Ovis aries: one gene and its partner. The protein of the gene in region 1 purifies or fractionates together with the protein of each later gene. This does not show direct contact. Links are inferred from orthologs where the notes say so. Each region holds a gene or a part of one and is shown in the gene's direction. Other genes may lie near its edges.

Evidence for each region.
Region 2: the proteins of POLR2F (region 1) and RPAP2 purify together in Homo sapiens (affinity purification with mass spectrometry; 4 studies listed by BioGRID and IntAct, with this or other methods). This does not show direct contact. The link is inferred for Ovis aries from reciprocal best matches to the Homo sapiens genes POLR2F and RPAP2.

Annotation. Positions count from the first base shown.
Region 1 is NC_056056.1:215,575,195-215,580,762, forward strand, and holds the start of POLR2F (DNA-directed RNA polymerases I, II, and III subunit RPABC2), read left to right. Parts: upstream 1-1,923; 5' UTR 1,924-2,018; coding exon 2,019-2,038; intron 2,039-2,511; coding exon 2,512-2,581; intron 2,582-5,320; coding exon 5,321-5,451; intron 5,452-5,568. Other genes in the region: C3H22orf23 (UPF0193 protein EVG1), read right to left, coding at 1-35, 1,251-1,353. UniProt on the Homo sapiens protein: DNA-dependent RNA polymerase catalyzes the transcription of DNA into RNA using the four ribonucleoside triphosphates as substrates.
Region 2 is NC_056054.1:69,554,227-69,559,123, forward strand, and holds part of RPAP2 (putative RNA polymerase II subunit B1 CTD phosphatase RPAP2), read left to right. Parts: intron 1-3,315; coding exon 3,316-3,430; intron 3,431-4,897.

The DNA of each region.
Region 1 (5,568 bases):
TTGGAAGTTAGTCAGTTTGGATTCCTTCATCATCACTGCAAAACAAAGCACCTTGGTGAGGCTTCCTGGGCTGCAAGCAGACGCCTCATCTCACCCCACTGAAACTTAATACTGTATCGCCTCCTGCTCCCATTCTGGGTGCCTGCGTACTTGGCTTGTGGGATTTGAGTTCCTTGAACAGGGATTGAACCTGGGCCTCCCAGCACTGAAAATACTGAGCCCTAACCACTGGACCACATGGGAATTCCCTTCCTTTTCTACATTTTTCCCCCTATACCACTCATCACCATCTAAGTTCTATATACCTTATTTATTATTTGTTACTTTCCTCCTAGAATATTAGCTCCAAGGGAACAATAATTTTTGCTTATTTCTTTTCTTTACCGCTGTGTTTTCAGCACCCGGGATAATGTCTAAAGCACACAGTGGGCTTTAAAACTATTTTTGTTGAGTGAATGAAACAGTGAATGAACAAGTATTCATTGAGCACGTGCCAGGGGCTGGAGCTACAAATGTGAGCCAAAACAGGCATCATGCCCTGATGGCGTTCATGAACTGAATGTTAATTCAATGTTAATTCAGTGGAACACACTAGGTATCTGAGTACAGGTTGCACTAAGCCCAGTGAAGGAAAAGGTATTTGGTAGTGTGCAGACTATTAGGAGAAGGCAATGGCAACCCACTCCAGTACTCTTGCCTGGAGAATCCCATGGGCAGAGGAGCCTGTTGGGCTGCTGCTGCCCATGGGGTCCCTAAAAGTTGGACACGACTGAGCGACTTCACTTTCACTTTCCACTTTCATGCACTGGAGAAGGAAATGGCAACCCACTCTAGTGTTCTTGCCTGGAGAATCCCAGGGACAGAGGAGCCTGTTGGGCTGCTGTCTATGGGGTTGCACAGAGTTGGACACGACTGACGCAACTTAGCGGTAGCAGTAGCATCAGTGTGCAGATGCATAACAGTTGGTTCCACTGTGGTGATGATGGGTGGAGAGCAAATAAGTCTTCCCTGGGGAAACTGAAAGTGTGATCTAAGGGGTTCATGGGAGTTAACCACTCTGAAATTCTTAGTTCTTTGACTTTGGGTCACTTCCAAGTTGTAGGAGCTGGACGCCTGAACCTTTCTGAACTCCAGGCTTCTTATCTGTAAACTGAAAATACAATTACTAAGCCATAAGTCATGTAGGGGAGAACTGAGAAACAGAGGGTAACTGTAACCACCGCTCTTCTTGTGCCCTTTAATGCACTGACCTCTGAGCAGCTCGCAGGTCCCTGGGGTGTAAGTGGTCGGCTTGGGACAGCGCCAGAACCCTGTTCCTTTGGTCACCGTCTCCACCCTCTCCTGGGAAGCCATGGGAGGGCTCTGAAGAGGGAAAAACCCAATGAAACATTCCCGGTCTCCCAGATCCAATCTCTTCTCACACCCTCAACACCACCCAAAGTTTGGGAGCGGGTGTAGGGTCTCAAGAGATCGTGATGCCGCCTGTCAACATCGCGACAGTGCCCGATCCTCCCACCTCGAACAGATCCACTGGCAGATATATACACGCGAACAGAGACCTCATCCTGACCTGGCGCCTGTGGCAGGGAAGCCCCCTCGGGAGGAAAGGGGAGTGAGGGTAGCCGTGCCCGTTGTGTGATACGCCCAAACGGGAAACCTCACCCTAAAGTAAGACCCCGGCTGGGTGGCCTCTCTCCTCACAGAGAGCGGCGGCTGGGCTCCGGAGATCGTAACCAAGGCTCTGAAGCAGCAGCCGCGCCTGGTCCCTCCCAGAAATACTTTTGAGATCTCAGCCACTAGAGCTTGCAGCAAGCGCGGCTCCGGCTACCATGGTAACGCAGACAAACTGCTCCGCGCATGTGCCTATTTCTCGCCCCGCCTGCCTCCCGGAAGTGATTACCGCTAGGTCACAGCGCAGGCGCCGAGTACTCTTGGCATCGCGCGAGGCGGAGGTACGCTGTTCGCCGGTCTCCGCGCGGGTTTGGGTCTCGGAACCCGGTGGCTGCTGCGCGGGCGTCATGTCAGACAACGAGGACAAGTGAGTGAGGGAGCGAAACGACTTTTCCGAAGACTCAGAAGGGGCGGATGAAGCAGGAGCCAGGGTCGAAGGAAGTTGAGCCAGAGGTTTAGGACTGGGGGTGGTGAGGGCGTCCGCAGAGCCGGAGAAGGGAAAGGCTGGGAACTAGGAGCATAGACCCGGTCAGAGGCTGGGCGCGGAAAAGGCTCCGACTCGAGGGTCCAGAGAGGATCAGTGAAAAAGTATCTTTCAGCAAACTTCCACTGAGTCGGGCTCTATGTCTGTCTGTACCAAATGTTGATTCAGCTGGGGTCTCTTTCTAGAAGAGGCCCATAGTTAAGATGAGGACGTCAGATGACTGGTTTATTGAATGATTCACTGGTTAGGTGGATATTTATTGAGAGCCTCCTACGTATCACATGAGACTCAGATTTCTGCCCACTTTGATTCTAATAAGTGATGCTCTAACTAACGGGCTTCTTACACTTGTTCAGTTTTGATGGAGACGACTTTGATGACGTGGAGGAGGATGAAGGGCTCGATGACTTGGAGAATGCCGAGGAGGTCAGTACTGAGCCTTGGGCTCCCCTCTCTGCAGCCCAAGCTGCCAGATAGCCCGGCCAGTGATGGCCGACTGCATGCCTCTGCCTCCCGTTTGTGGTCAGGGTACTGCCACTTAGAAAGGGGAGATCTAGCCCTGGGTAGTGGAGGAGTCCTACAGGGTTGGCCCAAAGGCTTTTGTCTCTTGGACCACAGAGCATGACTTCTGGGGCAGTTAGTTTACTCAGTTGAAATAGCCCCTTCATTCATTGTGCAGACATGTGGTGAATGTTTATTATGTACCAGGAGCTCAGCAGGGTGGGGCTGAATAAAGAGCAAGGGGGAGAGTGACCTGGGATAAGGCTGGAGAGGTGAGGGCCAAGATCAGCCAAGATTTTGTAGCCTAGGGGTAGCGGGAAGCTGCTGATAAGTTTTGGGGATCTGGGGAGTGGCATGATCCAGTGAGGAATGAGTTGGGTGAACCAAGAGTCAAAGAGAGCCCAATTAGAGTGCAATCCAGGTGACATCTGTAGCTTGCACTTGGGTGCTGGTAGTGTTTGTGATGAGAAAACAGATGAGAGATTTTGGTGGATTGGATGTGGGGCTGAGAAAGTGGGAGATGGCAGGAATGACTCCCATGTCTCTGGCTTGAGCAGCTTGGTGGATGAGTTACTGGCGTCATAGATAAAATAGGGTCTTCTGTGCTGTGTGACTGGTGGAGGAAGAAGTGCTTTATGTCTTCTGGAGAGAGGAATCCTTTGATTTTTTTTTAGATTGGTAATGTGAAGGCCCTCTTTTGTGTGGGTTTTCCTGTCTGCCTAACACTCTGAGGTTATCTGTTCACTGAGTCAGAAGCCTTCTTCTCGGTTCTTCTGATGCCTTTCCATCTCTCTCCTCTTGATTCTGCCTCCTCCATGTAGTTCAGTCCTGTTCCCGTTTCTCTATTCCTAGTGCCTCAGCCTGGTTTAGATCTTTATTGGTTTTCATCCGCATTACTGCAGAAACTTGTTACCGGTTTTCCTGCCTTGAGTCTGCTGTTTGCCTTTCTGCTGCCAGAGTCGACTTTTTCTCCTACCCACATGATTGGTTACTATTGGTCTTGCTCAGTGTTCTCTCTGCTTCAGCCCTTAGCCTCTACAGAACGTTCTTAACAGAGTATCCAAGAGTGATCCTTTTAAATCTTCAGTCACTCTGTCTCTCCTCTGCTCAGAACCTGCGTCTGGTCACTTCTCATCTCATTCCGAATAAAAGCCAAGAACATGCACAAGGTCCTCCGTGATCCGACCGCCTGCTCCCTCTGTGGTCTTATCTCTTCTTGGTATCGCTGTCATGCCAGGGAAGTTCCAGCTCAGGACCTTTGACCGTGCTGTTCCCTCTTCCTTTTCCCTTAGTTATGCACACAACCTGCTCCTCAGCCTCCTTCAGGTCTGTGTTACATGTCACCTCAATGAGGCCTTCCCTGACCATTCTGTTTCAAATCACTGCATTTGCTCCTTCCTCCAACATCACCACTCGGACACTCCCTGTCTTTTCTCTCTGTTTTTATACTGCACATTTTACTACTTATTTTATTATTGTTCATCTCACTGTATTCCTGGGTTGGAAGATCCACTGGAGAAGGGATAGGCTACCCACTCCAGTGTTCTTGGGCTTCCCTGGTGGCTCAGCTGGTAAAGAATCCACCTGCAATGCAGGAGACCTGCCTGGGTTTGATCCCTGGGTTGGGAAGATCCCCTGGAGAACGGAATGGCTGCCCACTCCAGTATTCTGGCCTGGAGAATTCCACGAACTGTATAGTCTGTGGGGTCACAAGGAGTCGTACAGGACTGAGTGACTTTCACTTTCACTGTATTATAATGTAAAGCTGTATGGGAGAAAGAACTTTCATCTGTCTTACTGCTCTGTGTCAAGCACTTAGAATGCTATCTGACAAAGAGTAAGCACTCAGTAAATATTTGTTGGCTTAATTTTGTATTACAGAATTTATTCTCCTGTCTACCCTGTTTGCACCTTTTGGGCTTATCATACCCCATGATTAGGCATCCAGGCTGAGTACACTCTCTTCCCTCGTGTGTCTTTGCACATATGCAGTTCAGCCTGTCTGGAATGCCCTTTCTTTCTTTCCTTGTTAGCTTGGCAGCTCGTACTCATCCTTGGAGACTAGCCCAAGTCTCATCTCTGGACTGTATTCCTAACCCCCAGGATGAGGTAGATGCCCCTCGCTTTCTTGTGTAGTTTGTGGCACACTGCCACGCTTTCATAGCACTTGATGTTTTGTTTACTCTTGCCTTTTCGCTGGACTGTGAATTCTTGGCGAGCAGAGACTCCGTCTCAGCACCTTTATCATGTCTGGCACATGACAGATGCTTAATAAGTGGTTGTTAAATATATACATGTGTAAAGATGGGGTGCTTCTTCCTCTTCTTGGTTTGGGTGAGGTTGTCTGTGCTCAAGGACTTCTTTGTATGGGACCAACTCTCTCTGCTGGATGAGGCGGCTGGCTTTGGACTCCTGATCACGATTCCTCTTTCACTAGCTCTGAGACTTTGGCCACGTTGGCTAACTGTCCAGCCCTTTAAAATGAGCATTGTAATCCCCACTTGATAAGGTTTTTGTGAGGATTAGGTGAGGTGTTAATAAGGCAGTTGTGTGGTCACTGGCATGCAGCGTGGAGGCGCTCACAGTCACTGTTGTCGTTGTCCTGCCCCTCACCCCCAGTGATACAGCCTGAGATTTTCCCCTCTTTTCTGCCTTTGTGTCCAGGAGGGCCAGGAGAACGTTGAGATTCTCCCTTCTGGAGAGCGACCGCAGGCCAACCAGAAACGAATCACCACACCATATATGACCAAGTATGAGCGAGCCCGCGTGCTGGGCACCCGAGCCCTTCAGATTGCGTGAGTATGAGCCCCCTCACCATCGTGTCCTTTGGTCAGGCCACAGGGAGCCTCCGAGCTGTTGATAATGGCCCGGCCTGGCAGCAGACCCATCCCTTTCTCACAGGCTGAACAAAG
Region 2 (4,897 bases), on another chromosome or scaffold:
GTCAAAGGCTGTTCTGCCTGTGTTCTCTTTTGGGAGTTTTTCAGTTTCAGAGGCCCTGAGGATATGATTTTGAACAGTATAGACACAGTTCCTGTCTAGTAGAACAGAGAAATATCAATTAAATTATCACAAATAAATACATAATTGCAAATGAAAAGGCTGTGATGGAACTAAAAACAAAAGAGGTTGGCAGGAAGGGTGGTATGTGTTCAGGGAAAAGCTTCTCTGAGAAAGTAATAATTAGACTGACTGGAAGGCTAGGTAGGCACTTACCAGACAGAGTAGTGAGGAGAGACTTCCAGCTAGAAGCACCAATATATGTGACAAGAAAAAAAGAAAGAGATATCCAAGGTCATGTGAAGCATTCTGAGCAAAGGAAGAAAGGAGTGTAGGAATAAGTTAGAGGCAGGGTTGCATTCAAACAGTACCAGTAGGCTAGGGTGAGAAATTCAGATTTTCTAAGTGCAAATAAAACTTGAATTTAAAGTAACAGAATTTAAGTTTCAAAAGTGTTAAGGTGTTAGGGATAAAGATCATTTGGGAGTGGAGAAATCAGATGAATTTGAGATCTGTTTTCCTGTGGAGCAGAATGACTATACTTGGCTTTAGAAAATAATACAACAGTAAAGTTTAGTTAATAATGATAATAGTAATTTGCAGGTCTCTTCAACATGGATCTAATTACACGCCTGAGGAGATTATCTTTTATTCTAAGTACTACAATGTGAAGAATATAGATAAGCTGAAACGTATTTCAGGCAGATCACCCAGGATGATCCTTGAGGGTAACCAACTAGGTGTTGAGAGAAGTGATCCTTCATGAATTTATTCCTACTGAAAAATACTTCTACGTTCAATCCAGCTGAATAGTATTAAGCCAGAAATTATAATGAGCTTTGTGAAAATATAAAACAATTCCGTAATTCACACTGAAGTTTTCATTTAAAAATATGTTAACGTGTAATGTATATATTACTATTAAATGAGTTCATGAGTGCTTGAAATTTTTCTCACCTTTAATCCCAGTATGGTAACTATCAACAGATACAATCTGCATAAGCAAAAACTAAGATTATTAAGGACCACTGATGCCCAGAAGTTTGAGTACCACTGCTGTAGACCACACCATGTGTCATGTGGGATAGAAGGGTGCTCTGAGACAGGGCTGTCCATGGGAAACAGCTGTAGATATTCATCAGTTCTGAGGAGTTTGCTGTTCCTGCAGGTTGAGGTAATTAACTCCTTAAATCAGGAACTCCTAATGCACATTCTATTCTGATCTTAGTAAATGACATAGCTTTAATTGGTAAGCAGTGAAATGAGAAAAATAAGGCTTTTCATAAAGCTAAATATTTTCAGTACAAAGAAGTTTGGTACTGCAGAGAAAACTTTTTTTCAGTACAAAGAATATTTAATCTGTGTCCATGTCCTTTTTACATTTTTGATGTAAGATTGGTCTTGATGAAATGGTGGGAGAACAGGTGTTAATTACAAGTTTCTTCTTTGTAGGGAAAGAGCAGATTAACCAAAGTGGTGGTGGTCAGGCTCTCTTGCCCCAGGACATCTCGCTCTGACCCCAGGTTTTGTAAATACATGGTCATGTAACAGCTGAGATAACTTAGAGCACCGCGCACACGCGTCACGATGTACCCACTTGGCCATGGGCCACTTTTGTTCTGTAAACATATATTGGCTCCACCTGAAGAGCTTTTTGGCTGCGTTAGGGCTGTGTCCACTGGGTTAGTCGTGAGAGGAGAGAATACAGTGTATCTGCTGCTACAGCTGTTGTTGCAGTCGGGAGAGAATAAATGGGTCTTCACTTACTATGACTCCTTGAGTTTTCTTCCAGCTTCCCTGCTAACGCCTTGCCTACCCTGGGTTTAGCGAATTCTTGTTTTAATGTCCTTATTTGTCCCTAGCTGGCAGTCTTGTGTCAGTTCTCCAAATTGTTTTTTTGTAAAACATATTGCTCCAGGCAAGAAATTAGATGCTAAAGTCTTCGCAGTCAATAAAGGTAGGGAGAAAAGGTGAGTACATTCTCAGTTCAGTTCAGTCACTGAATCATGTCCGACTCTTTTAGACCCCATGGACTGCAGCACGCTAGGCTTCCCTGTTCATCACCAACTCCCAGAGCTTGCTCAAACCCATGTCCATTGAGTCGGTGATGCCATCCAACCATCTCATCCTCTGATCCCCTTCTCTTCCTGCCTTCAATCTTTCCTAGCATCAAGGTCTTTTCCAATGAGTCCATTCTTCGCATCATGTGGCCGAAGTATTGGAGCTTTATCATCAATCCTTGGAATGAATATTCAGGACTGAGTACATTCTAGGTCCACATATGAGAGCAGTCAAGGTCCATGATGGCAGCAGGGTTGTTCTGGTGGGGGAGTAGAAACTAGTATAGCTAACAAGTCACCAAGATACTTGGTATCTTTGTTCCATGGTACTGGTTCTCAACTCTGTTACACACTAGGTTTATCTGGAGCACTTTTAAGAAAACGCCATTAATTAGAGCCCATCCTCAAAGATTCTTATTTAGTTAGCCTGCAGTGGGACCTGAGCATGGTATCTTTTTTAAAAAAGGTCTCATCAGATGATCTACACTGAGGCGGGAATTGAGGACCACTGTCCTAGGACCATTTTTTGATCAGATAGCCTCTGCTTTTATATGATGCAGGGGGCCTGCAAAGGCTGACAGATTTTCACTGGTGCTTCCTAGATTGTTGTTTTCCAGAAAGAACCATATAGTCATAGCGGTATAGTTATTTAGTAAGACTTTACAACAAAGTAAGTAAATACTTCTTTGCAAGTATGACTCTGTCCTGTTAAACCAGGCTGGCCATTTAGTTAACATTTGAGAATTAGCACAAAGAAATTTGTATTTAAGAGAACAACCAAAATAATATTTTTCCTCTCCATTCCTTTCTGATTTCTAATGATTTCAAGGGAAAAGCCTCCATTTTTAGGTAAAAGCTCAGAGAAATGATAGAGAATGATAAATTATCATTTCAATAATGATAGTTTTATCTGGCAAAAAAGATTTCCTCCTATTTTCTTTTTTGTAGGATACTCTAAATTCTTCCTTGTTCTCTGAGCCCTGGAAATCAAATAATCCTGTTATGACAGACGTCAATAAAAAGTAGTTTGTTTCCCTTTTGAAAAATACTGTATCAAAAGAAACAGCATTTAAAAATATACATTTAACATTAATAGCAAAATAGCACATTGTTAGTGTTTAATTTTAAAATGTAGAAAATGGCTATGCTAAAACTTAAGTAGAATAACTTAAATACCATTTTTTTTTTAAAATTTTAGGAAAGCAGAACTAGAAGCAGCTGTCAGAAAGAAGATTGAGTTTGAGAGAAAAGCTCTACATATTGTGGAACAGCTTTTAGAGGAGAATATTTCAGAAGAATTCCTAAGGGAGTGTGTATGTATTGATAAATTATTACTTCTATAGTATGTTGTTGTTTTGTACAGTGGCTAAGTCAGTCATGTTGGAGGCTTTGCGACCCCATGTACTACAGTACTGCAGGCTTCCCTATCCTTCACTATTTCCTGGAGTTTGCTCAAACTCATGTCCATTGAGTCGATGATACTGTCTAACCAACTCATCCTCTGCCCTCCTCTTTTCGCTTTGCTTCCATCTTTCATAGTGTCAGGGTCTCTCATAATGAATCGGCCCTTCACTTCAGGTGGACAAAGTATTAGAGCTTTAGCATCAGTCCTTCCAGTGAATACTCAGGGTTGATTTCCTTTAGGATTGACTGGTTCATCTCCTTGCAGTCCAGGGGACTCTAGGAGTCTTCTCCAGCACCAGAATTTGGACACATCAATTCTATGACACTCGGCTTTCTTTGTGGTCCAACTCTCACACCCATACATGACTACTGGAAAAACCATAGCTTTGACTATGTATGGACCTTTGTTGGCAGTGTGGTGTCTCTGCTTTTTAATAATACTGTCTAGGTTTGTCATAGCTTTTCTTCCAAGGAGCAAGCATCTGAATTTCATAGCTACAGTCGCCATCTTCAGTGATTTTAGAACCCAAGAAAATAAAATCTGCCACTGTTGCCATTTTTTCTCCTATCTGTCTGCCATGAAGTGATGGGACCGGATGCCATTATCTTAGTTTTTTTAATGTTGAGTTTTAAACCAGCTTTTTCACTCTCCTCCCTCACCCTCATCAAGTGGCTCTTTAGTTCCTCTTTGCTTTCTGCCATTAGGGTGGTATCATCTGCATATCTGAGATTATTGACATTTCTCCCAGCAATCTTGATTCCAACTTGTGATTCATCCAGCCCGGCATTTTGCATGATGTGCTCTGCATATGTTAATTAAGCAGAGTGACAGTACACAGCCTGAACATACTCCTTTCCCAGTTTTGAGCCAGTCCATTGGTTCCATGTTTGGTTCCAACTATTGCTTCTTGACCTGCATACACATGTTTCTCAGGAGGCAGGTGAGGTGGTCTGGTATTCCCATCTCTCAAAGAATTTTCTACAGTTTGTTGTGATCCACACAGTCAAAGGATTTATTGTAGTCAATGCAGCAGAAGTAGATGTTTTTCTGGAATTCTCTTGCCTTTTCTATGATCCAGTGAATGTTGGCAATTTGATCTGTTTCTCTGCCTTTTCTAAACCCAACTTTTACATCTGGAAATTATCAGTTCACGTACTGTTGAAGCCTAGCTTTAAGGATTTTGAGCATTACCTTGCAAGGATGTGAAATAAGCACAATTGTATGTTAGTTTGAATATTCTTTGGCATTGCCCTTGTATAAGATTGGAATTAAAATTGACCTTTTCCAGTCCTGTGGCCACTGCCTAATTTTCCAAATTTGCTGACATATTGAGTGCAGCACTTTAACAGCATCATCTTTTAGGATTTGAAATAGC